Linked DNA regions of Diceros bicornis minor. The protein of the gene in region 1 binds, or shares a complex with, the protein of each later gene. Links are inferred from orthologs where the notes say so. Each region holds a gene or a part of one and is shown on either strand. Other genes may lie near its edges.

Region 1 (15,510 bases):
GAGCTCTTGGCAGGTTATCTGGACTGTCCCTAGAGATTCTCATCCTGGCTATGTGGCATCATGGAGATCAGGATGGAAAAGGGATGTGCCAACTAACTTTGATGGTTGCCACTGACTGCCTGAAGCTCCAAATTGAGCAGAATTCGGAGGCTATTTGACCAGGAACAAAGGAAAGAGGATGCTCATCAGTGGATGTTGGGCGCAAGACTAGGGAACAACAAGCCCAGAGATACCTCTTGGTTGCTATTGTTGTTGTAGACCTATCAGCCTTTTGAATGACTTCATTTACTTGTATTTCATCTGATGATTGTGAAGTACTGTATTTACAAAAAAAGAAAGAAGGAAAGAAGGAAAGAAAGGAGGAAGGAAGGAAGGAAGAAAGGAAGGAAAAGAAAGAAAGAAATAAAAGGGAGAGAGGGAGGGAGGGAAGAGGAAGGAAGGAAGGAAAGAAAGAAAAAAAACATTTACAGGCTGAACACAGCATTTTTAACCATGTCTTCTCCCCAGACAGTATCAAAAGATACTTATTAAATATATATTTTTGGACACCTGTCAGCACTGTCTTGGACTCCCTGGGTGATACATAAGTTTTTGCCCTGACGGATTTGATACATAAAATGCTAACAAAATTAGTTATAAGCAACATAAGACACAGAAAAATGATACAAAGAAGTAATAGTGTCCAGTGACGATTCAGACAAGAAATGCTGGGAGTATAGGAGTGGAGGAGCTCTGGGGTCTGAATCACCCTGGGGTTCTCCTCAAAAATGTAACAAGTTTCTCATTTTGGTGTATAAAATAATTCAAGCATCTCTGTATCCTTCCACTTCACCAGAAATAACCGTTTGAATGATTACAAGTTAGTGATGGGGGAGAGGAAGAAGGAAAAGGGAAGGAGTGAAGAAAAGGATAGAAAGTTTGGGTAGGCATATTGATTAAAAAGAGGGAAGAAATGGGTTGAGGGGCAGAGGAGCTGGAGAATAATAACAGGGGGAAGAGAAGTAACAAAGAAAAAAGAGAAACAGAAGAGCGTTAAGGTAAAGGGGGAGGAGGAAAGGAATTGACAGTGTCGGGAGTAGGAAGAAAAATGGAGGAACAAAAGGAGGGGGGAGAGAAAGGGGAGGGGTGGGGGGAGGGGCAGGGAGGAAGAGGAAGATAGGGAAAGAGACCATAAACCTCATTTCAAAGCAATTTAGAAATAACTCTAATATTTGTTTCCTACACATTTTATAAACACATTTTAGAAATGCAAAGAAAATCACGAAAATTTATTCAATAATTTATCATATAACTGCTGACCAAATACTTTTAGGTTATGTTTAAGAACGGAAGTTAAGTTGTGTTAATAATAAGGCTTAAAAATTTGAGAGCGTTTATGGGAGAGGTAGGTGGACCAAAACTCTTCGTAGATTATTAACCCATAAAAATCAGAAAGCACTTTTAGAATTGTATCTCAGTTTAGTCAAACAACCAGTTTTTTAAAAAAATACTATTAGGCTGGGTCCCTTTTCTTTGTAAAACTGGTTTGTTTTACAAAGACAGATTGAAGTGTTTTTAATGAGTAGTCTGGTGATGAAATATTAGTGAAATAGTATATGTATTAATTTTTTAAACTTAAACATAAAAAACCATAGTAGCATCTCCTCTTAACTCTGAAATATTTGAGACAGCTACTCAAAAAAAAAAAAAAAAATCCTGACTAGAAACAGGAGTAAAATCAATTAATCTTATCATCAGGAGTAAAATTTTAAACAAGCAACCAAAAATAATTTGCATTCCAGATAGAAAAGTTCTTTTAGTCTTAAAAAGCGTAGATGTTATGTAGCTAAAATCAAATTAACTCCACACAGTTTGATGTTGTAACTGATTCATTTTGAATTAAAATCATTTAAATACTTAGAAGATACATATATTTCAAGCACAAAATTGTCTTATCACTATGTCCACCTTAAATAATATTTAGTTATGGATTCCCTCTCTTTTGTTGCTTTTTATAATTTGTTTTATTTTGAAAAATAACATTTATTTCTTTATCTTTTCTTGAATTGTACAATTTCCCCCCAAATGAACCAGTGATCTATTTTGCATTTTGTGAAAATAGGCACTAGACAAAGTTGTTCATTATCTTTTAACCAAATGATTTTGGAGTGGAAAAGAAAGCAAAAGGCAGTTCTAGTGTAGTGTGAAGAATGTTATTGACCATTTCTTTTACATGTGTCAATAGAGGCTAGTGTGGTGTAGTTTAATTTACTAACACATCGAAGTTGGAAACATCCATTTTTTAAAAGTTAATAAAATAAACGATTCCCTTCCTTATCTAAAAGTTTCTGCATTGTAAACCTGAGCCAAAACAAAAAGTTGAGTAGTTTCATCACACACACACTGTTTGACCCCTAGAAAAACAAATGATTGTTCTTAAAGTTGCTTTTTTCTCCTTGAGTCTCTTCTATCTCTGAAATAAACACATTTCTTTTTAATGTTTTAAACACTGAAGACTTTTAAAGAAGAATCTGGAGGAGGAAAATTTTTCTTTTCTGCTTACCATTCTTTTACATTTTATGAGTTATCTCAAACACATAATTAATTATCCTTATTTATTTGACAGGAGAAAATGCTGCATGTGCTTTTAAATTGGGACTCATTTACACTTTTTCAAAGTTTATGGGCATTTAGAAGAACCACACTAAGACTTCAAGTTGCAGGAAGAAACAAAATATCCCCAGGCAATAACAATGAAATAACAAGCAAACAACAGCAACAAAACAAATCAAAACAAAGCAAACAAAAAACAAATTCCTCCAAAAACTTTGAAATCAAAGCAGCCATTTGTCATGAAATGTGAATTTTTCTTCTTCTCTATTTTATAGAAACCATAATTTTATTTCAAAATTGATTATGGGTCATTAGAAAATAAAAAAAGGGACAAATTCTATTTTAATGCCTTTCTCTCCTGCTTTCCATTTTTTTGTGACTTCTCTTTTGTAAAACATGCTAAACTTTTAAAATAGAAAGTCATTGATAAATGTTAAATTTAAAATGCAATATATATTCTGGGGATATATTCAAATGAGCTAATCTAAAAGAGGAAAAAGTTACATGCCCCAGAAACATCTATTCAGCACCACTTACAAAAGTAAAAGAATTTGATGTAACTTACATATCTAAAAATAATGATTAATGATTAAGATTAACTTACATCTACTGGACTAAATGGTACGTGTTGACTAAAAATGATAATTATGAAAACTTTGAGGCAGCATGGGAAAATGCTTATGGTACAACACAAGTGAAAAATTAAGATATAAAAATAAGGTGACAAAATATAAAACTATTCCAAATGAACAAATACTGGAAGAAATATTTAAAAATAAAATTAATTTTATATGACAATGGTGGAATTGTTGATTTTTTCACTTTATATCTCCAACTTTTTAAAGTGTTGTTTTATTCTCTTAATTTTTTTTTCCTCTCTGCATGTATTTGCAGGTTCACATTGAAGGAAAATGGATCTGAATCCCATCTTTAAAATGGAGTCAAGTTTCAGTGTTTCTGAATTCAGAGAACTGAATTCTAGAACTAGACCAAATACTTCTTCAGGAAAAATGAAGAAGGAGGAAGAGAAGACCAAGAAGTATAACAACATCAACAATAATAAAATTATTATTATTAAATAAATTATTAAAGAAAATAATTTATCCTGCAGCTATATTTTTAACTCTCACAACTAAATATAATTCTGCATTGAAGATTAATCTTTCCCCGAAAAGCTGTGTGGAAAAAAACCTGAAAACAAATACCATGTTTATTAGTAGTCTTTAATATAAAAAAAAAAAAGAAAAGAATGATGATAAATTATGGCATCCCAACTTGGCCCATGCTTGTCCCTCACCTAGGAATGTGAGTCTTGACAAGAAAGAACCCTTCTCTCAGGTTAATTTTAGTGCTGAGCTCACTCAGAGGGGAGAGATGAAGCACCAGTCAACAGGATTCAGTCCCCCCAACCCCAGCCTAAAATAGCCAGGTCACTGAGGCAAAACTGATTTGGGGGCTAAAAGAGTCTGCATCTCACCCCAGCTGTCTCCAAGCTCTTGTGTTCTTGCAGCCTCTGACTACACACAGAAGCCCTTGGTGGGGTGTGTGTGTGTGTGTGTGTGGGGATTAGAATTCAGTGAAACAGCTGATTTTTAAAAAGAACAAATCAGTTACGATTTAGCAATAGTTGGTAAATTTTTAATTTAATACATTTATATTTTCTCCTCTACTGTCATTTAAAAACATTTAAACTGACTCATTTCAGCTAATATCTAGACTTCTATTATATTTTTTAAGTGGAAAAAAATCAACCTAAAAGTGAACTGAATTCAATTATTATTTTTAAATTTTTTGTTTCCCTTTGAATCTAGGATAAGAAAAGGTGGGCTGCACTTTACAGGCATTTAGAGGTCTGTGTTGAGGTTTTTGTGGGGTGTAACTTGCTTTTGTTTTAGGAATAAAGAGATAGAGTAGTGGATATGTTCCCCAGGCAGAAAAGCTGAGAGGTGCTTCTATTAATTCCTAAAGATTTAAACTAAATAAGGAAACAGCTCTTAAAGTTTCTGGGAACTGAAAAGTCCTGCCTAGTACCCACTTCTTTGTCCCCCAATCGAACAGACGAGATTTAAGGAGATTGGGGCTCCTCTTTACGAAAAGGCCAAAGAACACAACAGCCTTTCTGAGACCATCTTTTAGCCCTTTCAAAAGTCCACACACATCACCAAGAAAAGTCCCCGGGAAACAGACCTACACATTCTGGCCAAGATAATTTTTTTTTCTTCTGAACTCTTAATTTTCCTGTGCATTTTCTTTGCTCTGCAGTTTGTATTAGCTTGTTTTTCATTTAAAAAAATGTTTATTGAATGCCTACTATGTGGTGGGCACCGTTTCCAGCTCGTTGGTTTGTTTTAAAATTGTTTATGGTCAAGAGTTGACTAAATATTAACAGTCAGAAACAGTGGGAGGGTGGGAGGAGGTGTGGGGGCTGGGGTACAGATGTCGCCCACCCCAACATTCTTTTTCTACTCAGCAACTAATAGCTTATAGTATTTTAATTTCTGTCGCCCTATGGAAAGAAAAAAATCACAAAAACAAAAATCCGACAAACACGTGGCTGGCTAGAACAAAACGCGGATTTGGAGGGTGGGTTTTGAAGGTGGTGGAGATGGAGAAACCGAGTTGGAAGCCTTCCCCCGCCCCCACGCTCAAGCCCCGTTTCTTTTCAGCGCGCGGGGACAACCGGGAGGGGGACAAAGGTGCGGCGTGCTGTCTTTTAACTCCCGACTTTTTGAACGGAATGAAATCGTCTGGCAGAAGAGTGGTGCGCCCAAGTCGGAGTCAGCTCACTGACTCTGCACACAAAATAATAACAAGAAAAAAACCCAAGGCATTCATATCGGTGCAGCCAACACGTGTTGCGGAGTCGGCCCGGGCCGCAGGCGACTGAGACAATGGGGTCGGGGACCGGGAAAGGGAGAGTGACCCCCTTCCTCACCTGCCCTCGCAGCACGCGTGTCCCCGAACGAATGATTTCTCCCTCCTGCAGAACCCGGAGCAAACCCCGAGCTTCCGCCCAGTTCAGGGAGACTCTGGCATTACTGGAGGTCCACCTCCCTCTTTCCCCGGTTCCCTGGCCAAGGGGGCTCCAGGGGCCCCGGGCCGCGCTCTCTGCCACCCCTTGGTGCCGTCCCAGCCCCCGCCGCTAGAAACTCGTTGGCCTCGCTCGCCACTCGGGCCGGGGTCCCGGTTGCGCGTGGACCGCGCGTCCCGCTCTCCGCCGTGTATCCGGGACTCCGAAACGCGCCGCCAACTGCCCCCTCCCCCACCGCAGAGACGGGGGTGCGACCGCCCACGTGTCGCCCCTTGCCCAGTCGGGTCCGTCCCTCGGGCTCCGGGGGCCGGAGGATCCGGAACGAGTTGGTCAAAGGCGAGGGAAGGGACCAGGGCGGATCCGCTTCCCCCTCCCCAGCAACGGGGAGGGGGGAGGGGCCGCCGCCCCCTCCTCCAAGCTCCCGCCCCTCGCTTCCCCGAGCGCCGAGCGGAAATTACCCCCTCCCTCCGCGGGTCTGACCTGGGGACGTGGGCGGGGCCTCGCGCTCAGCCCCCTGCCCGCTGCCCCTCTCCCGCCTTCCCGCCGGGATCCAAATCCTGCACCCCAAACAAAGTTCCCGGACCCGAACCCAGTGCTGGGAAAGCGGCTGTCGCTGTCCGGATTGGAGCGGGCGGAGGGGACTCCACCTGTCTGCCCCCGCGTCCGGGAGGGAGAAGGGACCGTGCGGATCTCCACCCGGTCACTCCCTCCCCGAGACCTCCCCCTTCGGTTCGCCCGGGTCTGCTCGCGCTACCCCTCCTCTCCTTCTCTCCACCCCGCCCTCTCTCCCGGGGTCATCTTGGGCCGGAGCCGTGCGTTCCCCCAGGACCCCGAGACGTTGTCGTTCAACAGCCGAACCCCGGCTGTGAGCCACCCTTTCTCCGGTGGGAATCCCGAAACATGATTTCCTGTGGATTCCTCGTTCCCAATCGCGACCCCCCGTGTCCCCAGCTTCCCGGTCCCGCGCTCGCAGGGCCCCTCGGTCCTGGATTCCCGGAGGCGAGGGAGTCTCCTAGGGCTGGGGCCGGGCAGGCCCAGAGCCCCCACTTAAAAATCTAGGGAAAAACCGCCTTTCTTTTTAAATCACCGGCTCGCGGGACCCCCTCCTGAAGACCCCAGAGTCCTCGGCTTCTCTTTGTCTCTCTCGGCCGTCCCCCGCCTGTCAGTCGCTAGCACTTAATCGGGGTAGGGTGGGCAAACTCCCCCACCCCCGGAGCACACGAATAAAAAAATCACCGTACATTTTACCCATAAAGAGGTGGGAGATTCTGGGCCCGACAACCCTCCCCCAGCTAGGGCCGGGGTAGGGGGATGGGTGGGGGGGGTGGGGCGCCTCCCTAGGGACCATATTCTTGCAAAAGGGGAGGGGACAAGTAAAGCTTCGGGAACGCAGCCCCCCCTCCCCACCCCGCCCAGTTTATCCGGGGGCGAGTGTCCCCCCTAGGCGGGAGATTGGTGGGCTGGGCCTGGCTGGAGGGTCGATGGGCCCTGAGGCGTCGGGGGTCTTCCCCTGCAGGGTGGGTGGGGGCTTTCACCACGTGGCTTCGCCTTTTTTTTTTTTTTCCGCTCCATTTTTTTTCAAGTCGATTTTATTTAGAGGCGGCGCCAGGGCGGCCACGGAGAAACGTGACACACCAGCCCGCTCGGAGGAGTTTCGGACAGAAGAGAAGGAGCAGCGCCGCGTCGTCCGCCTCCCAGCGCGCCGCGGGCACTTCTCCCGGGCCTCGCCGAACTCTCCCGCGACCTCTGCGCGCCCTCGGGCCGCCCTCCCCGCCGGGCTCCGGACAACTTCAGGGGTGGGGTGCAAAGAAAGTTTGCGGCTGCTGCCGCCGGCCTCCCGCCTCTCGGCCTAGGAGGCTCGCCGCCCGCACCCGCTCGCTCGGCCTTGCCAGGGACCGCGTCCTGCCCAGAGCCCGCCACCATGAACAAGCTTTACATCGGCAACCTCAACGAGAGCGTGACCCCCGCGGACTTGGAGAAAGTGTTTGCGGAGCATAAGATCTCCTACAGCGGCCAGTTCTTGGTCAAATCCGGCTATGCCTTCGTGGACTGCCCCGACGAGCACTGGGCGATGAAGGCCATCGAAACTTTCTCGGGTAAGGGCACACCCACCTCCCGGAGAAAACCACAACGAAATCCCTGAACAACGGAGACCTGCGCCGCCTCTTTCCGTGCCCGCCACCTCCTCTCTCCCCGCGGCCTGCGGGGCTCGGCCTCGGTACCCACCCTCCACCCAGCTCCTTCGACGCCCCCTCCACCCCCCACTCCCCTCTCGCGCGGAAATATTCGAGATTTCCTCACCCCTTCCTCCCAACCCGAGACGAGCAGCTGGAGCCTTTAGTAAGGTGGCCCCCTTACCCCCCACCGACGGGGCGGGAGCCCCCACTGGCAGTGGGGGGTCGCCAGCAAGGCGACCCCGTCAGGGCGTTATTTCCACGTCAGCCCCTCCCTATCCGCGGCTGGAGGCCCCTCCCGCCCCCAGCGTGAACACCCCCAGCTCCCCTTCCTCCGCCTTAGGCCTTTCCAGGCGGGGCAGGGGTCCCCGCTCAGTTTCCGATCTCCCGGCTTTGCGTGGGGACTGCAGCCTTCAAGCAGGACCCGCGGGGAAAGGGGTCCCGCCTCCCGCCCAGGGCCTGGGGCTTGAGCCATTTTGATTTGAAAGTGGGGCGTGAGCGGGGTGGCGCGGCCGCGGCGGCGCCGGGTCGCCATGCTGCTTCCCGAGACGCCGAGGCTGGGCCGAGAGGCGCGCGCCGCCGCCACCGCCGGGGACCCTCCCTGCGGGGCCCCGCTTCGCTCCCCCAGGGCCTCTGCTCCCGACCAGTCCCGACAGGTGACCGTCCCGCCGCCCAAAGCCCTTCTCCCTGGCTGGACCGAAAAATAAAGTTTCATTCTGCACCCCCCTCCCCCCTGCAACACACTTTGGGAGAAACGAGAGCCCTTTCTCTCTCGGCCCCGTCTTCCCACATCTGGGAGCCGGATAGGCAGCCCGCGCACACAGACGCCCGCGCACCTCTCCCAGATCGGGCTCCCAGAACGACCTACTACTCAGCCAGCCTCGATGAGATAATAGAACAAAACAAAAATTAAGAAAACACAATGAATTTATAGATTCCACCATTACCAGAGCGACCTTTTCCCACCCGGCTGCGAAACTCACTGCCTGATTCCTACAAATCCAAGTAACTCCTGAATTACCCTAATGCCTTTCTCTTTCCTTTTTCCGCCCCCCAGCCCTGTTCAAGCTCTCATATTGTCTCTCCTTTTTTTAATCCTTAGGCAAAGTGGAACTCCAAGGAAAACGCCTAGAGATTGAACACTCGGTCCCCAAAAAACAAAGGTAGGAAAGAGCTCTTTTCTGGGGAGGGGGGCAGCCTGGGGGAGCCGAGAAGCTGTGTTCAGGGGTCCATAGTGTCTCCAGTGGAAGAAACCCATTACTGGCCTTCCCACCCCCAACTCCGGATGTTGGGGGCAGGGAGGGAAGATTGGCTAAGATCTTGTAATGAGTGGTTTACAGCTTGTAAAAAACGTAAGCTGGGGCTAGGGTGGGCTAAGAGATGTTATTTGGAGAAATAAAAGGGAAAAAATAGGGGAGAAACCTTGAGGAGTTTGGTCAAGGGGTGTGGGGCCATTTTTGTGGGGAAGCTAAAAAGATTTGAAGAGCTCAGACTCATGGACATTTCTGCAACTTCCTAGCAGGCCTCATTTTCTCTATTTTTTCCCACCCTTCACTCACCATAATTCTTAAGTGGATTGGTGGGGGTCTCCTTTCACTCCCCAGGGGAAGTGGAATGAGTTCTGCCCCTAAAAGAATTTTCTTAGACTTGTGCTTTATTTATATTTCTGCAACAGGCATGGACATTACTTTTTTACAGACCCCTACCCCTAGTCCCTCACATGCACATCCTCCCCTCCCAACTGGATTTTGCAAATATGCTTTGGCTGTACTATCCTTTCCGAGGCCCCCCCCCCCCCACTCCTTCAGTCCATTGTTACAGGGGGACCATCTGGGGTGAGAGCTTTGTGTTCAGGCTGTGAGCTGGGGCTCTTTGGAGGGTCTAGAACTCCCTGCATGAATGGGTGTGTGTGTGAGAGAGACAGACAGAGACAGAGACAGAGAAAGAGTGTGTTCCAATACCTTTCTATCCTCACTTCAGCAAACTGGGGTACCTCTATCATGTTATCCCCAAATCCAATTCATGGTGGATTTCAAATCTTTCATTGAACTCTGGCTGGGAAGTATAAGGGCCGAGTCTTTCTGCTTTCTCAAATCTGACTTTAAACATGTTGACAGTGCAGAGTTTTCTCTCATGTTGCAAACCCCAGTAAATCTTTGATCCTTTCACTCCCCCCTCCTCTCATTTCAACTGGAAACTTGCTGAATTTCAGAATAGGACCTGGCCTTTTCAGGGTGGGAAGGTGGAGGTGGGTGGCTATGCATTTTTGGAGGTGGCTAAGGGTCTAGAAAGTTTACTGTGAGGTAAAAATCTGTTCAGTGGTTTAGCTTGAGATATTGAAGTAACTTGGAACTATTGTATCTATAGATGATCAATATGGCTTGTAACTATGTTTATAGAGCTTGTGATTTAACCTCAAGTGCTTGAAGTACTCTGTTATTGGAAAGGCAAGTAGAGTTAGGAGGAAAGAGGCAATAAAATCGGAAGGAAGAAAAAAAGTCTTATTTATTATTCTGAAACATTTCCTGGAGATGGGAATGAGAGAAAAACATACACTGACACCAGTAGAGTTATTGAAAAGATTGTGCATATTTGAACTGAAAGCTGAATTTTTGAAACATGTTGATGAGAAATATCCAGAATAACTGGAATTCTGGAATTCCAGTTCCAGATGTGTGGAAGTTTTCCTTTTGCTCTTCAGAATGGTTTAAATTTTAAAGGGAATGAAGTGAAAAGCAGGAGAAATAGCAAACTTAGGAAATGGAACCCAAAACATTTATATTTTAATTTTCATGGTGCTCTGTATTTATGGATCTTTTCCCCTAAGCTAGCTGCTTGATTTCAAGCCATTTTTAGGCTCCTTGTTCCCTCCAAAATGCATTACTGAGGGCTCTTTGGAGTTGGGAAAGGGTGGGGTTTGTGAGAAGAGTGAGTACAAAATCTTCCTTTCCACACCCATATTATATTAAATTCGATCTTTTGTGTGTCCTCCCCCTTCCTGAAATAATTTGAGCACAAACACTGAGTCAGTTGTGTTTTACTTTTTGGGGGTGGTGGTGAGAAGGCACTTCATTTTTCTAGAATGAATCCATTTTTGAAGTTTTGGGATTTAAAAAAAGAAAGTTTGTTTTCGTGAAGTCAGTTTGCTCTATCATTTTGTGTTCTTTGAGGAAGTGTGTTGTGGTATGTGTTTTTAGTCTGTCTGAAAAGTCTTCATTTGGTTTGTATACTGGCTTTTTCAATCTCATGTATAGAACAGGAACTATTTAATTGACTATGACTAATATATTAAGCAAAACGGACAACTGTGCATATATATTTTATGTATATATACTCTCGTGTTTTCACTGTTTAAAATAGAGAACTCTTCTTGATGCACTCAGTTCCAAATGAATTATGACTGTAAACATTTCTAAGAGATTCTTAAAAACTTGAATGTTCCTGTTTTTTTTTTTCTTGCTTTTTAGAGGGGAGAATCAAACAAGATAATATTACTGCAGTTAACCTCTGAGCACCTCTGATTTTGAAGTATTAATATATTTTGTTCTAACTTTGTATCTATTTGATAAATATAATTTGTACCTTTTTAAGAATCCAAGAGACTGAACACTATACATTTAAACTGAAAACATGTCAATTTGAATTTTTTAAATGGGTGACATTAAATTTCTCTGAGATCTTCCTAAACCCCCTGTTAGTCAGTGTTGGAATTTTGGTCAACAATTCAGCTTTTTGTTAAGAATTTGTATATATTAACTGTCAAATACTAGGACAAAGGAGAAAAACCAAAAGCATTTTTAAGATAGTTGTGGAAAGGGTTTGTATGTGTATTTTATTTTGAGAGACTTAAGACTAGTTAAGATAAAGGGATACCATCTTAGTGAGACTTGTTTATTTTGGGAAATGACTTGCTTTTAAGGGAATTAAACTTTTGTTTCATTTGCCACTGTGTATGCCTTTTTCTAGAGGAATGTGACCTAATGATAGCATACCTGCTGTCAACTGGTGTCATCAAAATAAAAAGTGTTGCTGTTAAGAAAAAAATGAAAGAGATGTGTACTTCATTTCTCTTGGTGAAATGTATTCATGTTAAAGACTGATTTCCTTGGGCAGGTTAATGGTGGTTCTTTTCCCTAAGTTGACTTAAAATGAGGTGGGCCAGCCCTTTGCCTTATAGTTCCAGCTATTAAAAAAACAATTGGTCTGATAGCCATATGTGTGAGAACTCTCAGAAGAGAAAGTGTGCAAACTTCATTCTGATTGTGTGAGAACTCTCAGAAGAGAAAGTGTGCAAACTTTATTCTGATTTTACAGTTTAATTTTCTAAAGTTAGCAGCTTTAAAAATCTCTGAAGGGATGTCTTGTAAATGGCAAAAATAATATTTTTAATTTTAAGTGATTTGCGGAGGCTCTGAAGAAATAATTGGATCACTGAATGTCTTCAAAACAAGCAAGAAAATTTTGCCTTCAAAAATGGGTTTGCCTTTAATGAAAATTATTCTTAGGGGCTGAAAATGAATTATAAGGGGGAGTTAAGAAACAAAGGAATGTCTTAAAAAAAAAAAACAAAGGAGTAAATAGTACTAGAGGGGGAGGATTTTCAGGCACTTTTGTTTTACTGGTTGTAGGTAAAAGATATATCTGACCTGTATTCAAAAAGGTTTTCTTATTCCTATTAGGTTAGTTTTTTGGGCTTTAAATAAGTTTAAAAAATGGTCGATTCTTACATTTTTCTACTGTTTAGAGGAAAGGTGGAAATGAATTCACTCTCCCCACTTTAATTTCTACCTAGAAAGTAAACTTTACAAATTCATAAATTTTCTTCACTGCTAGAGAAATCCTTAACTTGTTATCATTTAGTGCTCAGTATTTCAAAATGACTTTCCTAAGGACACTGGTATTTGACTATCCTTTGGAAGAGTTGAAGGTGTCCAGAAACCTTTATTTTCTGACCCAAAGTAGAAAGATGAATTTTTACTCCATGGGTTTCCCAGATGGAGAACTTTTGAGTAAAGAAGGGGAAGAATTGTAATTCCCATCACTAATTTATTCAAAGTGTAGTTAACTGTTCCAAATGTAAAGTTTTAATGGTGCAGCTTTTGGTGGAAAAAGAGCAAAACATTCTTTCTTATAATTATGTTTTAGAGATGAAATACATGACATTAGCCATTGGAAGAATCTTGATTCAAAGGTTCTGTGCTTCTAATCTTTTAAAATTACCTTAATATATGTCATTTGAATCTGTTTTATGTGTTTGGGTAGTTTAAGGCTTAAATTTTTGAGTTTATTTACTCTATACTTTAATGTGTAACAGCCACTTGACAGAGGTACCATTGAGATAGGCTAGTGGGTATATGATTTTAAAACATTAAAAACACACCAAAAAAACCCACAAAAAAACAAAAAACAGAAAAACAAACAACAAAAAATATATAAAACATTAAAAAAAATTCAGATCTGGTTTAGTTGAGTGGAAAGAGGGAGACCAGCAAGTGCTGTTTGTTGAAGTTTAGGGATTTTTGTGTTGAAGAGCTATGTACTGGTTGTACCTGTGTTGATTTTTGTGTGTAGGGGGTGGTCATGGTGGTGATATTGTCATTAGGATAAATGTATCAACCGAAGACATTTGAAGAACACAGACATTTTGCCAGCTGTTATAATTTAAATTCAGTCTTGTTCGCTCCCCATTCTCTTAAAAGATTTTTAAAATATGGCTAATGCCTTCCAGAAAGTGCAGCTTAGATTTTGGGATGGGAGTGTTAGGGAGAGAAAAGGGGAGGAAAAAAACAGCAGGGGAGACTGGAGAAATCAGACGAGTTCGTCCTGGGTTGGAAATTCCAGACGGGGGAAAAAAAGAGAGAGAGAGAGATGGGGGTTGGGGTGGATTTCCCGCCTCGCTTTTAAAGAGGAGCAGCGGCTGGAGGCGCACAGCGACCCATGGGATAGGGGGTCGCAGACAGCAGGTTTGGTAGATTCGGCGACGGGCGAGGCTATTTTTGCTTTCGGAGTTGCTTGCCTTCCCTTCCTCTTTTCAAAAAGCAGAGAAAGTCGCGGCCGCGCTGGAGGCGCTTCCTGGAGAGCCCGCGCCGGCCCCGCTGCCCTAACCCTTCCCCGCCCGCCGCAGCCCCAGCCCTGCCTCGCAATCTCTGCCCGCTCTGCGCTGGGGCCCCCGCCTTCCTCCTTTGAACAAGCCCCTGCCAGGGAACATCTGCAGGCCTGGGTCTCCGAAGAGCTTCCTTCCCCAGGGTCCCCGAGACCTCAGGCTCCGGCGCGCCAGCGAACAGCCTCCGCCTTAGTCTTTGGAGCCCCCAGATCCCAAACCTCGCCCACGTGGAGAGTTTCCCCCCGCTGTGGGGCGCAGACTTTTACAGCGCCCGGGCTGTCTTAGGACCTTTTCGTCTTAAGGCAAAAGCAAAAGGCCCGTGGATAAATGTGAAGTGAGGAGGCAGGGGGAGAGGAAGAGAGTGGGTGAGGGGAAAATAAGAGGATGAGAGAGGTGGAGAGAAAATGGAGGTGCATATAGCTGTGGCCCTCTCCCTCTCCCAGTGCCTGAGGCCCTTTGGCCATGGGGCATAGAACCTCGAAGAGTTAACAGTGTCAAATAATCTGTAAGCTTTAGAAAACGGACTGTCTGTTGCCATGTCTGTCTCAAAGGCTGACTGAAACAATAACAAAGGGAGTAATAGTAACCAGAGGCTCTATGATGGATTTTATTTATGTTGTAAACGATAGACAACAGGTCCTCTAGTTGGCCACTGGCTAGGCTGTGAAGATCTTTCTTAGGGTCTCAACCACTGACTGACTCCACGTTAGTATAAAATTTACTCACCATTTGCACCTGTGAGGAACATATTGCCTCTCCTCCCCCACACCTTTTTAAATGCCTGTCAAAACAAAATAAGAAAAGGTCTCTCCTCAAAAAACATGCACTCAAGAAAGTGCATGCTCATTTGGTTATTGATAAAAGTTTGATAACATGCGCATCACAAGGAAGCACTGCCAGCAAGGAGATGTTCAGTCTCCAGTTCACTAACTCTGTTCTAGTAGAAGAACTTGGATATCCCCTCAGATTTTCTTCAAAGGGGCCTTTGTACTTTTTGTTGGGTCGAAGGGGTCATGCTGGTATTGAAAAAGCAGAGCCAGCTTTCTAAGACCTGCTTCTTACCTTTGCAGCACAGTAGGTTTGCAATAAATAGTTGAGGGATGAAGGAACAATAGGCTTGAACAAGCTTTCACCCTAAACACGAACTGCTGAAGTAAAATGTGTGTTGGATGGGTAAATCACAGGAGAAAAGTAGGTCTGGACCTCATCATTTTAGTATAGTTGGAGAAAATCTGATTGCCAAACACTGAAATATAACTGTATACAGAACAAACACCACCAGACATGCAGTCCTATTGCAGAAGTCCAGGCTTCCAGGGTTTGATGTTTTCTGGTCATGTGGGCATGGCTAACCATCAGTAAACTGGTTTTGAATGAAATAACAGAGCAACCAGCTGGATGAGCAAAAGAATCTTTGACTGGATTGTCCAGATATTTTCAAGACCTCTCAGGACAAGTCTGATTATTAGACAAGGGGCATTTTGGTGGCTAAAGGCATATAAGGGACCTGTCAGGATGGGTGGGAATTTTGCTCATAGTTTAGGGGAGGGTTGTGGAGAAAAAAATCTCTCTTGGAGAGGAGGCAGAAGTGGAGGATCTCTCTTCATTTT
Region 2 (16,365 bases), on another chromosome or scaffold:
GAATACTTAATGAAGTAAACAACAAACAAAATGGCTCATCTTTGGTGCCCCCAACTAGCATCCCGAACTGGATATAATTAAAGGTGTGAACAAGCAAGCAAGGAAGTAATGAACTTGCAAAGTCAAGGTTCTCAGAAATTATTTGGCATCCCGCACTGCAAATTTATCACTCATTATCTCTTATACCGGCAAGGTGCAGATCCACATGTTGGTATCCCTCTCCACTCTTGTACTCCAGTCTTTTTTTTTTTCTTTCCATTTCTAGAAGGGTAATTTATGACAACTACTGCTTGTGACAACTCCCACCCACCCACAGATCACCTTTCTTTTTACCCTTAGAAAGCCACTGACCTATAAAAGCCCTCTACTCTTAAAATACGCTGAGATTTTAAAAATACAAGGATGTTCCAAAAACACACAACACACACACACGCTCACAAAACAAAGCATGAGATGCTAACATGGCCACCCTACCTCCTCCTTGTTTTTACCAATGTTAAAGATTAGTTTCAAATGCTCCCAAAGAAAAAACAACTCTCCTTCCACATAAGCATATATTTTAATTTGAACCCAACCCCTTGATTGAAAGGGCAGCTTCTAGCTCACAAATATTGTTACGGATTGCACACTTATAGTTTCTCTAGTGGCAGCTAAGGAAAGGTATTTGGTTACTAACGGAAGTCTGCAGAATCTGGATATATCTATTTTTTAATGAAGTTTTGTATTTTTCTAATAAGAGAACTCTTGGAATTTGTGAAAAGGAGAAGCCACTTCTTATGGGAAGCCAGCCCAGTTTGGTTTTCTTTCCATTTTCAGATGCACATATACTTGCAAGTATGTATACACATTGGGTAATACCAAATAAGGAAAGCCTAAGACAGGTGCAGGATTCCAGAAACACACACGCTTACACCGAAAAGCACATACACACACACACACACACACACACACACACACACACACACACAGAGTCTCCCTCTCTCACATACACATACTTTCCACATATCTATCAAATGGATGGAAGAATGGATAGTGGGCAATAAAAGGTTGACTTCACTTTCAAAAGGGGAATTGGCCAATTCCGTACCACATGGCCCATCAACTGGAATAGTAAGATAAAAACTTGAAAATGTTTATGCCCCTTCACATCCCCAAAATTCCCAGTGACACTGGGAAAAAATACTGCATTGCAGCATTTGCCAGCACACACTCATGTGTCTAGCATCCGCTGGCCAGCTCACCAACTGATGTACATATTAAGTGTCCAGGCATATAAATTAAATGCCTGGTGGCCACAAATCATTGGAACTGATGAAGAAATTTATCAAGGCCAAAGTACTTCTGTCCATGTACAATGACCTCTATAAAGACCACCATTCCTTACCCGTGGCACACACAGATAATTTGTTTTGATTTTATTTTAATTATAATAAAGCATTAAGATGCCAAGGGCTAATTGAAGTAGCATTATCTCCTCATAGAAGGAACAGTATTAGGTCTACATGTAGGAAGAGAATCCACCCCCAATAAGGAAATATGTGCAAAGGAAAGAAACCAAACCAAAGAAAAAGACTTGCCCTGAGGAAACCCTTTCATTGTTCGCGGTAACTCTTACTGGAGAAAAACACCTTCATTCACCTACAAATTCTTTTAGAGATATTGAACACAGACACACACACAAAGCACCATTCATGCAATGATTTCCAGATTTGAAATTTCAAATAGATTATCCCCAGTAGAAATGCTAAGTCTAAAATATCCGGAGTCTAACATGTCCCAAACCCTGTTTCAAGACTGAGTTTAGAACTAAAATACAAACGTGTAGCTCATTTTCTTTCTCTTTCTTTAAAAAAAAATTCTATTTTTATTACCTCACGACAATCGAACCTTCATCTCATCACAAAATCCTTGAAAATTCCAAGGACCAAGGAAGGGCTATAGGAAGAGAAAAAAGTTTCAAGGCTCTGGAAAACTATCAAACAGAAGCAAGTTCATCTGTATCCGGCCAGGAGGATGACTTGAATGAATGGCAGTTAGGAATGAATGGGACTGAGATCACAAATGAATGGTTAAGTTGCTTGCTGGTTTTTTTTTTTTTTTTTTTTTTTTCTTAAATGGGATATTAAAATTGTCTTGTAAATCAATGATTCTCAAAGCAATTTTTCAGCTATTTCCCCACTGATGTTCATTTTACCCTTTCAAAATTTAAATATTAAATGATTTAGCCATTATGTTACAATGAGATATATGGACAGTCTGGTCATTAAAACTGAGATATAGTCAGGCAGAAATATTTCCAATCAGATTTTCATTTCTTAATAAACGCACACTCAGTCTTCTGCTTCCATAAAGGCACACCTCCACAAGCAGGTAGTAGGCATTAATATTTTTAAGACAAAGGAGCAAGAAAGGTCAGCGGTAGAACCACATGTCTTTTTTACAACCCAAGACAAGGTGACAGTTCTTATGGAAATGATTTTCCCCTAACTAAAAAATACCATAAAATTCTCAGAAAAAAGTATAGTGGAGATAACCAAAAACTATTCTATTTTTAATAGCGACATATGTTTACACACTCAAGATGAGAGCAAGGTTCCAGTGTATGACAAAAAATAAAAGTTTAATTATTTTTACCTCAAGAGTCAAAACAAATTTTTAAAATCCCCCAATGAGAAGAAAAAACAAAAAGAAGAATCTGCAAGGAAAAAAGAATGGGGGGAGGGGTGCGGAGATTTGCAATGGAAAAAGTAAAAATTAAGAGTATTTTCAATAAAGCCAATTATATTTTATAACCTTTTAATATATTTCAGTATTTTTTATTCTCTCATTTTGGGGCTTAAAATTAGCTACTTGATCATGTATCTAATTTGTCTCTCAGGAAGAAATCGTAACACATCATCGTTTCAGTGGTTTTTACGCTACCTCCTATTCACCTAAGTACTACACCTTTCAGTCCTCCTGGTACCCACCATCATGAGAAAAAGAGACTAGTAAAGCACTCTTAGAGAAAAAGCGAGAGATGCCTGTCACCCAGCGCACACATGGGTCCCAGACGTTCAGAGATACCGAAAAAAAGAATTCAGCTTTTCACTCAGTTTATGCCAAGACCAGAACCAGCACCAAATGCTAAATGGAAGGCGGTGGTCGCAAGGGTGCAGCCTGATAGATCCTGTGGCTGAAGGCATGGAGAGGGAAGCGAAGAAAAAGGCTAGAATACAGCTTTTTATTGATTATTTTTAAAAGTAATTTCTACTCAAGATATAAAATGAGAGCTACAATGAACTCCCTGGAACTGTAGTATCAACATCTGATTTAGTAAAAATACCAATATTACCTAGCACAAAGTCATTGCTTAGGGTAAATCTATTCTACCTATATTTCTCCTATGGATATTTGCTGGAAATTTCTAAGAAGTCATTTGCAGAACCTATCAGCTGTGAGAGTTCACTATTATGCTTCCATCAACTTCATTCAATACAATTTACATTTTTTTCAAATGGCCTCTCAGGATTCCTTGCGATTTTTCGCACGTACAATTTCACAGCAGGGAAAAGGGAGAAAGAGAGAGAGAGAAAGGAAAAAAAAAAGCAAGATTCCCTACCCTCCCTTCCCCCCTCCTTCTCTCTCTCTGTTTTTTAAAACCAAAAAAAAAAAAAAAAAAAAAACAGGGGAGACAGAACAGATGCTTAAAAATAGATTTCTAAAAATCACTGTAAACCAGAGTTAGAAATGTAATTAACACCTATTTATAAAGAATAATTAAAGTTGGGCCGGCCACAAAGAACAGCAAAGATAATCGAGGTCCTGTACCCCCCCCCCCCCCGCTTTTTTTACACTGTTTGCAGTGTGTTCTCATGATAGCCACCTGCTCCCTATTCGGCTTTTCCTCTGTTCGTTTCCCCGGCAACCTTTCATTGGGTTTTCCTCCCAGCTATCGCTTTCAGTTGGGCTGCTCGGTCTAATCTTATTTGTTTTACACCCATCAAAACAAGCAGCCAGACAAAGGCAATCCTCTAAGAATGGGAAAAAGACCACAGCTTTGTTATAACATCTATGCGGAGCGAAAAGTCCTCCCCGGGCTTTTCTAGTGAAAAATAAGTGAGATGGATATGAAATTCCAGCCTCCCCCCATACCCAGCTTTGAAACCCCATGAAAGCTATTGCTGGTGAAATTCAAAGTCAAAGTGGGCACTCGCGGCATCTGATCATGCCATTTTGTGCCATATCTTCAGGGTCAACATCAGGCGACAGGAGCGGCACTCAAGGAGTTTCCCTGCTTCTTTTTTTTCAGAAAGAGATGATGCTAAAAATAGATTTACTACTTTGGCAGAAAGGTTTTCCCCTTCCACATCCAAAAGTCCTGTTTCACAATTACATCTGCTGGTACTGAACCTCACCTCCTCCACCCCTCATTCCCAGCCTTCCCCATCACTCTTAGCAGGAGACGGAAAATGAAATGTGCCTTTAACTTTAACAGTCGTGTAATTCTGTTGAAGGCTCACAGAGGCGGTGGACACGCCAGCTGACAGCGACGGTGACATTGTGATTGTCAAAAAGACACCAACCTTGCTTGGCTAAAATGTGTGTCTATGGAAGAGGCAGTGTGTGTGCCTAGTGTGCATGCAGTGCCATTACACTTGGAGGTGGATTCTGGTTTTCAGAAAAGAGAAATACTAATAAACACACACACAAACGATCTGCACAGTGATTTATGATGCACAGTCCACCATCCTTACACACACACATACACACACACTCAGCTGGAATCTCCAAGCTGCCTTCCTCTTTTCACTTACCATCTTCAAGCCATTCCACTCCATCTGTGATCAGCAGAAGATGGACCCTCACACAGTGTGTCAAAAGCGGAAAGGAACGTTATGTAAAAGCTGACATTCCTCCTTACAGAGCTGCTGCCCAGAGAAGGAAGCAACAACTCAACACGCCAGGCACCGCTACACATACAAGCCGCCTCCTCTTTTTTATGAGGTCATGACAGGAAACTCTTTGAAATACAAGATGCAGCATTTACTGAAGCCCAAATAAATCACTCTCTTTGCCGTTTTGACTGCGCACCCCCGAAACACAACTGCCCATCTCAACGTTCAGTATCCAGGAGCTGCTTCTCGAGGTTTAAATTTCCAGCACGGGAATGGAGAGATTCCTAACCCTGCTGCATCCACCTCGAGCCCCACAAAACCCAGGCACGTAGACAAACCCCCACTCCCTTGCAAAAATAAAACCCTTCTTTTGGCATTATGGTCTCATGTAATATAACCTCTTTCAACAAACCAGCAATTATTTCAGCCCAACTCCCCCTAACCCACCTCCCCCCACTGCCTTTACGTTGAAGGGAAAATTGACAATGACCTCTTAAAAATGACAATCTATTTCCCCACTGCTTTTCAATACAAGGACCTACCCGCACTCTCTACACAAAAGAGATAGTAAAGGTAGGAACCAAACAGCAGCAGAGAACTAAACTCTTGTGCAAGCATAAGACTGGTCAAAGTGTAGATGCTTTTCTTCCCTCCAGCAACACAAACAACAGATTATAAATCTAGTCATACCTACCATAACCATTCTTATTGGCAAATATTGGGTCTCGCAGAGCTTCGACTCTTCTCTTAAAATTTGCAAAGGTTTCAGAATATATTTTTTTAAATGACTACTATTGTTGTATATTTTTAAAGATCCACAACACACAGTGTGGATGATTGTAAATTAAATCAATTATTTGGGGGTGGGGGGGAGATGAGGGGGAGAGAAAGAAAAAAAAAAAAGAAAAGGAGCAGTGAGCCGAAACTCCCGATTCTAGGATGTAGATAAGAACAACTGAACAGAGCCTTGCTGAAATTGGCTCGAAGCTTCCCCTTTTTACATCCATTTATGGGACCATCTGTCAGCTGAAGCCAGGATCTGATTGGCTGGGGAAAAGAAGGGAGGCGTTGCAACATCAGGTGCTATTTAAATTAGCTACTGCCAGATTGACGATGTTAATGATTTGGTGACCTCTACAACAACAGAGACCAGATTTCTGAACTGCTTCTTGTGTCTGGTAATTAAGGCCAGGCTGAAGCAACAACAGCCATACTTGTATTTTTACCTTTTCCCTCCTCCCAGCTCAAAAGTACTGTAACAACTGCAAGTCACTGGTGGCTTGCAAACCTTAACAGTGGGAGTGTCCTCTCTTTCCCCTGTCCTGAGGGCTGCACCACCCTACCCCTCTGACAGAGGGCTTTTCCCATCTAAAATATTTTCAATCATCTTATCTTTCTTGACAGTTGCTTTCTAGCGAAATGCATATTTACTGATCTGCCTCTAGGCTTAAAGATATAACAACAAAAGCACTTCAATGTGCTAATACATCTACATTTTAACTTTATTATTTCCCAATATTGCTGATTTTTAGCAAGTAATGCTCCTTCTGCAGCTCACATGACCAGGTTTCAAACGAAAGCAAGTTTGAGATTGTGCTTGCTCCCTGAACTAGGTTCATACAAGTTTGCTTCAGAAAACTATTTCCTAATAAACAAAAAAGAAAAAAAGCTGGGGGAGGAGGGGGCAGCTGTCAGCCTCTACCTTTCTGCCTTCTGTCTGAGCTTTTCAAAACAGAGAATGATGAATGATTTATTTAAATGAATTTATTTCTCAACTTGGATAGGTGCATGATCTGAATTTTTAAAAATCCACTAAAACACATTCTTTCTTTGCTTTCCCTATTGCTATAGAGAAAGGTAAAAATATGCTTTTGACAACAGACTCATTTCATAACCGGTGCAGAGTGCCCATCTTGTTTTACTGAACACGTGATTTTGCATCTCTCCTTCAAAGGATGTTTTCTTCCTTTGGCCTCTTAAAAGACTTGCAAGGAGACATTTAGCAAGTGTGTGGTGATGTATACAGTTTGTCTGCCTATGTGATACATTTCATAACCTCTGATACCAAGCCTTCAGTTAAGATACTTTTTTTGTTCTGGTTTGAGTTTTAAAGTGGTTTACCTCAGGAGTTTATGCTTTACTTCTACCCAAAAAGTTAACTTATCACTATTTAATTCATAATTTAGTCAATTTGTTCCTCAATAAATATACAGAGGTTAACAAATATTACTGAAGACGTAATTCAACATAATTTTTAATCTTTGGCTGAAGTTGACAGCAAGATGGGACCGAGCAGAGTAGAAATATAGGCCAGAAATCATGCTACACTCTGGGCTTCAAAGTCCAAGAATAAATGGGTCTGTGAAAAATTATTAGAAAAGAAAATAACCTTTACATTTTTAAAAAATAAAACTATTTTTTCTAAACTACTAGTTCATGAACACACATACAAATACATACATATATACACACTTTAAAAAATACAGATACACCACAAATCAATGTGTGTTGGGTACACTATCTAAACTATTAAACTGGAATTTAAATAAATTGAGCTATTGGAAATGAAAATACATAAAATAGGAAAGTAGAAATGTTAAAACTATAATCCCTTCAAGAGGAACAATACTAAATTAAGAAAACTTTAAAATAATTTCTTTAGCAAAATGTATAAAGAGTCCTACGAGTCACAATAGTGCTATAGGATCTGTTGAACTGTGTACTAAGGATGAATTCACAGGTTAAGTGTTGTAAAGAGCTCAACAGATATACACAGGGCAGGTACAGGTGCCCCAAATAGACAAGAGAAACTGAGTGCGATCTCACCAATATCAAAATATTGTGAAAAGTAAACATAAACACAGTGCTGACAAACACACAAATAAAAACAGCCGGCTTAAAACCCCTTTCTCCCACCCATATTAATCTCAGCACACTTAGTGAGCCACAAATTAACATTAGGTATATCAAAAGATATTCTCATCACTTTTCCAAAATAGTAACTGTATATCACAGTATGAATGATTAGCTGGTTTTGCTAGGCTAAAAAAATCCATACACTTTGTGTATTGATCACTTCTCCAAAAACCTCCACTCTAAAGTCTTTCAACAGAATCCTCAAACAAATGCACAAATATCCTCAGAGGCTTTTTCTCTAAAGACAAAGGCAGAATCCTATTGTTGGGAAAAGTCAACCTTATTATTGCATTTCCAATAGTACCATTCATCTTTCAGAGTGAGGGGCTGACCACTATATCAGTGGTGTGACATTTGTAAAGCAACAGATTCTCAACATATTATCTCAAGAATCAGGCAGGCGAGTCTCCCAGTCATGCATGATTTTTTTTTTTCCGGCACAATCCTCCACCACCACAGAAAGAAACTTGTCTCACTCAAGCAGCTAAGGCAACCTAAAAATGATATCCCAGAGCTGTGGGGCTGCCAGAGCGGCTGTATCCCTCTTACCATAAATGAGCAGTTTCTTGACTCATTAATAACAATTTCCCTTAAAAGAAGTAATCTCATATCAGTCAGCCCCTCGCCACCATGCACACATCCCAAAGGTTGCAGATATCTCAGCATCAGTCGCCGGCAGCCAGCTTTCCCACACAGAGTCCAGATGGACTGTACCAGAAGCCAATTCAGCGTTAATAACTACCTACTCCGCGCAGTGGAGAAGCCTTACGTGGCACAATGGGCTAGGAAACAGCAGCCAGCTGAAACTGCAAATAAAAAAGACAACCAAATTCTCCAAAAGCACTGAAAGGAAGGAACAGAAATGGAAACGTGAATTGTATTTCCTTGACTTCCATGAGGAAAATAAAAAGGAAAGAAAGAAAAAAAAAAAAAGAATCCTTCATAAACATAGGGAAAAAAATGAAGGGGGGGGGAAACAGATGCTGCCCAGAAAAAAGTGACAAAATATTACCTCATTATTTAACAAAGCAGCATTAAGCGTCTTGCTGATTTCAAACATCTTGCCACAGATTTTGTTTTAAGAGAAACAGATAGAATCCTTTGCAAAGCACTCCGTCTGCAAAGGGTTCTTCAATTTTCTTGCGCGCCACGCAACAGTCAATATATTATTTCCCTAGAGTTCGCACATTAAAACCTCTAGTCAGTGAGCTGAATTTTCCCCTTATCTCACACACAGTAGACTCCTGTTATATGCACTGCTCTCTTTGCAAGAGCAGCCTGCCCCAAACATGGCTGGTGTTTAAACTACTCTTTAAAGTAACAGTTCACTAGATAACCACCAGGTGGGTAGAGAGCACAGATTCAAATGAACCATCTTAAAAGACTGTTTTTTCCCCCTTGGAATAGCTTTTGGGTGTAGGATGTGACATGAGAAACGCCAGCACCCTAACAGGCATCTTGTCTTGTATCTCTCTCTGTATCTTGTGAAAATAAATAAATAAAACTCCTTCTCTTGACTTATAGAGAGGAAACAAAACAAAACACCATCACCAATTCTAATAAGAACTGTGAAGAATGAAACACAAATAAGCTTTGTTTCATTCAGCAAAGGATGAACAAGGAAAATCCAATCAACACAGAGCAAGAGGGAACACAAAAAACTCCATGGAAATATTTTCCTTCTGCAAAAAGAGAAAAATATTGACTCACGTGATAAAAACCCGATTCAAAAGTATCCATATGGACGAAGCACATACAAGATGGAGGCAAGAGTTTAAGAATGCAACTTTTCTTCTGAGTAAAACATTAGGTTTATTTGATATGGTCTTTCATGATAGGAAATAAGCAAAAGCTTAAAAGTAAAGACACTGAAAAAAAATCTTAAACATCTCTTAAAAACACAATTACACGAACAGTTATAAACAACCACAAGAGCAAACCAATCAGCTCTCCCCTCCCAGTGCTGTTCGTTTTCGCCAAGACCTGCCTTGAAGTGGAACATTTCTGTCGTATACTATTTGGGATGTACAGAAAACTTGGTGTCTCCTTTGTACAATTCTATTCCAATTAATCTGCTCCTCTGCCAGGAATAAATAGAATGTCCCAAGTTGAAAGCCCCAGTGATGGAGGGGGGATGTTAAAAGGATAAAAACCCACCTGGACAAATAAATCTCATCACTTATACTGCTATGGCCTGATTTTAAGGAGGATTTTATTACTTACAGAGCGTGCATGCACCGTTCTACGTTCCCTCGTATCTAAAAGAGAAACCAACACACACTGATACCTGGGATTTTGTTTTCTTGGCTGGATAAAATTAAAGCCCTGAACTTCCACATCCCCTTGCAAACACAGATGTCAATACTAGTATTTTTCCAGCTCATCCAAGCAACATTTAGCTACACACAACAGTGACTGTCTCCTTCATCTTTAAGTCAAGGCTGCATCACTTAATACTATTTAACCTTCTCGCATATATTAAGTTTCAAGTGAGAATTTTTAACTGGGGAGTGAGAAGGAGGAGTTGCTCTCATCAAATGCTGGTTGTATGAAATAAGCTAATTTGTACACTCACCATATGTCTTAAACATTAATTAAAAATGTCACTTTCTTCAAACATTAAAATGTAATCAGCCTAGTAAATAAAATATTCTCGAGTTTTCTTGCCTTGGTGATAATTTAAAGAGTGTTTATCTCAAGGTAACCTCTCTATTTTGATTACCAAGGAAGGCTTTTGATTTGAAAAGGGAAAAAAAGAGATATTGGGGGCTGGGAAAGTGAGAAGAGAAAACCACAACTGTATGTAGCTGCACAAAGGAAAATAAGATGAAGCAGGTTTTTAAGGACCCATAGTCTTGTTACCCTAAGGCAAATCCAGCCAATCAATACCACCCATTGACGGTCCACCATCTGCCATGCTACCCAGTGATGTGGCGAAACAGACCTGCTCCATATGACTGTAGCCGGCTCATTTTCAGTCGATTAGGGCAGTTCCAGAGCATTCACGTGTAATAGCACAAAACTCCAAGTCAGACTGAGCCTCTCTCTTCACACCACTCCCTCCAAACACAGCTGCAGATCTTTTCCTCCTGTTCTGGGTGTCTGGATTACCTCTTCTTGCCCCTCAATTGAATTAGCAAAATGGGGTGGGAAGGTAGAGCGAACAGACACTCACATATCCACACACACACACGGAGATAATTGCTGGCCCTTCTTCACTGCCATGCAGAAATCGGGAATTCCATGTGCTCTGCCCTAATATGATTATGGCACACCATTTAAATAGCGTCATCAGTGACTATGACCTGACATTTTCCTGTGGTTCAATTTCTTTTTATCCTCCCCCTCTTCCCTTGAAAAATAAACCTAAACTGCTGGCATTTCTTCCTCCAGGGAAAATACAATCAGTGTGCCTAGACAATGGTATACTATATTTAAGGGCTTTTGATAAAATTTAAAGCCTAATTTTCCTTTGATGAATTGTGGTGTTGGTTTTGTCTTTTTTCTTTTTCCTGTAGAAACACCAAATCAAATTTTATAGGAAAATGCAAACTTACCACAGAGGCAAGAAAGATGTACCAGAGTGACACGGAGTCTACCAGAAGCATCAGGAATTCACTGTTGATGTTTTCTTAGAGATATATGACCTGAACGTGTGATGCCTTTCTCTTTCCTAAGTAGTTTTGTTTACTATGGATTGTGGGAAATAGCTAGAAGAACACTATTATATGGGGAAATGTGACAAATGGACGTCTAGTCCACTTAAATTGCCAAGAATTCACCTGTGCAGGTAAACTAACCTAAGGCTCAATTCACACTTGATCTTCCTGTTTTCTTTCCATACTCCTAAGCCTTACGCTATAACAGCAGCTGAAAGCAGAAGGTTTCTTTCCAGAATCAATGTACGCTTTTTCAAATGTGCCTTTGACCGCACTCTTAAAGCACTAGGGTGTCTTTCCAGGAAAGAAAATTTAAGAGACAGGAAAACCACCTTACTTACAAAATTTTGAAAAAGGTAAATATACACTTATCCAAGAACTCTAATTTAGGTGAAGTCCCTGTCTGGCATTTCCGCTGATCTATTCTTCCTTATAGCCCAAGAAAACTCAGCAGAGTTAACGTGCAAACACACAGAGATTTCTGAAGATCCCTGCATTAAGGGATTTGAGGCCTTTTCATTTCAGTTCAGATGAGCTTTACTAAAAATAAAACACAAAGAAACAAACGAAAAACCCTAGTATAAATATAAATCTTTACAAATCAAAGCCCACTGAGCAGGTAAGTAGGGAGTAGCTACTCAAACCATCAAAGGATACAGTGTTTAACCAGATTAATACAGTTTTGAAAATAATTCAATAGCGGGTTTTTCTGGACTCATTTACAATTCTGTAACTACAAATAAAGAAATAGATGTATCGTAAAAGGCAAGGAAGGTAATTTGTAGAAGGAGGAGGAGGAGGAGGAGGAAAAGGGGAGGGGAGGAGAGGGAAGAGGAGAAGAAATAAAGAAATAATAGGACTTAAAAAGTGCAAATAAAAACTGCCATCTTTTACCAGGAGTCTACTGCATACCCAACACTGCACTAGGCACCTGACGTGCACAATCTCACACAACATCACAGCAGTGACACTTGTTATATCTATGCAGTCTTCTAGAAAGGTGTTTTCCTCATCTAAAAGTAAGATATTCCCTCTAGCACTTCATAGAAGAATATGCTTGGTAAATATTTGTTGAATGAATGAGGAAGATGGGCACAGACTAGAAGAGAAAGCAAAGGGAGGAGAGAAGGCATGCTCAATTTTTTCTCAGCTAAAAATGACCAAGAGATTTCTTTGTGATGTGCTTCTAACTAGGCATGTCCTCAAAACGTATCTCATTTAATCTATCATCATGACCAGGCTGTAAATGTGTAGTAAGAGAGATACAAAGGATTAAAGCTGCAAAGCAAAAAATCTTACAAGGCAGGATGAGTACCCGATTGAGTCCCCAGCCCCACTGCCTACTTCCTCTTCCAAACCTGGCAAAATGCCTAACAGAGTCACTGCTCAGCAAACACTGGTTAGATGAACTTCTACGTCTTCAGCCCCTTACAGCACAGAGCCTGGCTCCAGGCAGCACTCAGTTATGGGGAAGGAATGAAGACCAAGAGGTCCACTCATCATAACCTCAAATACTATCCCAGGGATTATTTCATTTGACTCAGGTAGGGGTCACTGAACACCTTCTATTAGGGGAAAATAATATGCTAGGCTCCATAAGCCTCAGTTTTCCCATCTGTAAAGTGGGCACAATAATACTTCCCTTAAGGTTTGTTGCCAGGATTAAAACAGATTTAGCCTTGGTGGAGGCAGCACTCTAAATGGTAGCTATTATTATTAATATGGAGAATAGGAGAAAATTGTATGAATTATCTTATAGCTAGGTACTAATTCAATCTTGTTGAACAAGATACAATTCAAACATTCTCAAAACAACTGGAGGATAATAAGACAATAATAACTAAGGAAGCCTGAATGGTCTGTTCCAGTTCTAATGAAAAATGCTGGCTGCAGAAAAACATTTACTTAGTCCTGTGGACAAAGTTCAGTGCTAAATTCTTAGTGTGAAGAATAAAAAGAAATACAAGTCATAATACCCACCTTCAAGGAGCTTACAATCTGGTTGGGAAAAGAGCTTTCCTTTTATGCATCAATCTTGGTGTGAAAGGAAGAATGTTAAAATAACAGCATCAAAATAAAATACTAAAGGATAGTGGATGGTGAGGATGCCATCTGGAGTGATGGGGGAAAGCTTCATGGGAGAAGCTGGAACTGAGGCTAGGCTTAAAGAATGATAGGATTCATCTAGGAAAATGCAGGATATTTCATATAAGAATAAAGTTCGGGGAGGAGGGCAGGAAGGGGATATTGGTAGCCAGCTCATCCTAACTAGACTCCTCTGAGGTCTCCTTTGAATCTATCCCAACCTCTTTCATTTTTTTAAAGTTAAAATGGAGGAATGCTATGATATGATGACTATAGGAGAGCAGACCTCTTATTCAGTAAGTACTTTTATAAAAGGAACAGGAATTAATATTTATTGAGCATCCACTATGTGTCAGACATTGCACTAGGTACTTTGCCTACAAATCTCATTTAACCTCACAACTCTGAGATTTCCAATATGGAAACTAGAGATTAGAGAATTTAAGTGATTTTCTGAAGATCCCGCAGCTAGTAAGAGGTAAATTTAGGTTTCAAACTTATATATGTCCAACCTTAGTCCACACTCTTTTCACCATAAATACTACCTTATATAGAAAAGCATAGATCTAAAGAAATTTAAGTCTCATTCTCTCGGAGAAACCAACATTCAGAGAAATGTCTTTGACATCTGCTGACATTTAAAACAATAACAATTAAAAAACAAAACAAAACAAAACAAAAAACAACTAAGCTATGCCTGCAATTTCAGTATTCTGCCACCAAGGGATGATAGAATCCTGGTCCTACGAGACTTACAAGGGTCACATTTTTGCCTGCTAAAATTTTGTGTGTGTGCTATTCCCTCCTCCATCTCCAGAAGTGGAAGAAAGAGTGCCTGATCTTCAGATGGAATCATCCACTAAAGCCCTAAGACATTAATTTTCCCAAATATTTTCCAAATTTTATTTACAAAAAACTCAACTGTGGGCATAATTCTAAACTTCAACAATTTTCAAACAATTCTATTACAGATTGTATTCAATGAATTATAGTTCTTTGTTACTTTCACACAGTACTGTGAGCTTGCAGGGTAGAAATTGTATGTTATTTGCCTTATAACCCCAGCACGTAGAATATCAGTACCTGGAACATCATGGGCACTCAATAAAAGAACATAAATCATTGATTCCAAATATTTTAGAAAAACTTTTGAACAAAATGCTTAGGGCATAATTATTTGGTACTTTATTCATTAATATGTATCTTTCTTTATCAAGTCACCCTTAATGCTGGGTTATTATAGAAAGCCCTTTCTCGAGGTTGGTCATCAGCAGAAGCATTTCTCTCAGTGGTCAGGCACTTCCTTCTGCCTTAGCTACGGACAGTCTACATTCATTATGAGCCCTGCCCTGCTCAGTAGCCTAGTCTACCTTTTCAACCTTCTTATGCCCAGGAAGATTGCTTCCTTTCTCCACGGGAGGTGAAGAAAAACTTGAAAAACAAGAGAGGCATGCTATATAACTGTCAGAAAGAGGCGACTCTCCACTTGACCCTTTTTAGTCCTTCCCCTCTCTGACTCTGAAGCTGGGGGAATGATTTAACTACTTTTAAGCAGAAGAGTAAAGTTACACATTAGTGCTGAGTAGCCCGTTTCCCTTAGCAACCCCTTAGCAACGGCAGCTTCAAGTTCAAAATACCTCCTTGAAAAGGATCACATCCTTAACGAAGAGGAGTATTTTTTTTAATGTAAGGTTTTTGCATAGAAGTTTTAACATTACAACCCCCAAAGCCTTGCAGGCTACAAATACCTATTTCATGCTAATCTTCCTTTATGATATTATGTAGTAACCATAATGATGCTGGGCTCCCATGAAATTTCGGTCCCTGGACAAGCCCTGGGCCTGCTCTGAAATTATTCACAAATACATAACTTTTATTTTATCAAGTCACCATTAATCCTAGGTTACTATGGAAATTACACTTAAGTTCTTTTAAAAGGGTTATTGATATTGACCTCACTCTTCAGTTTGCTCCCTTATTGAGAAGAGCGAAGAACTAAAATCACAGTTTTTAAAACCTACATTAGGGTTTTACAAACTATATTACATGTAACCTAAGGTTCTGTGGACAGTTCAAAGAAAAATATAAAAAAGAATTCCAACTTTGCCCCAAACTGGTACTTACTGATTTTATTATTTGATACCTACCTGCTCACTTCATTATCCATAAAATGGATCATAGGATAATCAAATAATCATGACATTTGATTGGTTTTACGTTGTCAGTGAAATGAGAATGCTTGCAAAAGGTTTTGCTAGCCTTCAAAAACCCTAGGAATGTAAAATGTACATGTTATATGTTATGCATATTATTAAAACTCCATCTTGTTCAAGAATTTTGAAACTCTTTTTTGTCATCTTAACGGTTTCACAACTCAAATAATATAACTCTTGCTTGAAATTTGTTCTTTATTGTCTCTTAGCACATAGGTACCTTGGGGTACAAGGAAACAAAATGCACAGGGCTCAGAACAGTAATTTCAATGGGCTTCTTCATTGTTAAAGATTTATCAAGTAAGACCACACAATCTATGTGTGCCAGTTCCAAGACATGGATAGCTAAAAGACAGAGTTTTCCTCCTATATCTTTTACTTGGTATCAGCAGATAACCAAACTGTGCCATCCACCTGACACGAAGTTTTCACATTTCCATGTGCAAGGGTACTGCTGAAGAACTTGCCTAGAGCAATGGCCCTTAAACACAGTAGGTGCTCGATATGTGTTCTTGAAAGTAAGATCCATTTTAAATCACTAGGGAACATACAAGGAGGAGCCAGGAGACCTCAAGCCCAGCTCCATCTCTACCACTAAGAATTCTATGACCTTGG

What was found.
Region 2: IGF2BP1 (region 1) and ELAVL4 share a complex: the UniProt entries of both Homo sapiens proteins name them as parts of the TAU mRNP complex. The link is inferred for Diceros bicornis minor from reciprocal best matches to the Homo sapiens genes IGF2BP1 and ELAVL4.

Annotation. Positions count from the first base shown.
Region 1 is NC_080757.1:37,066,753-37,082,262, reverse strand, and holds the start of IGF2BP1 (insulin-like growth factor 2 mRNA-binding protein 1), read left to right. Parts: upstream 1-7,204; 5' UTR 7,205-7,544; coding exon 7,545-7,719; intron 7,720-8,899; coding exon 8,900-8,960; intron 8,961-15,510. UniProt on the Homo sapiens protein: RNA-binding factor that recruits target transcripts to cytoplasmic protein-RNA complexes (mRNPs). This transcript 'caging' into mRNPs allows mRNA transport and transient storage.
Region 2 is NC_080752.1:12,616,095-12,632,459, reverse strand, and holds the start of ELAVL4 (ELAV-like protein 4), read right to left. Parts: upstream 5,777-16,365; 5' UTR 5,581-5,776; coding exon 5,572-5,580; intron 1-5,571. UniProt on the Homo sapiens protein: RNA-binding protein that is involved in the post-transcriptional regulation of mRNAs. Plays a role in the regulation of mRNA stability, alternative splicing and translation.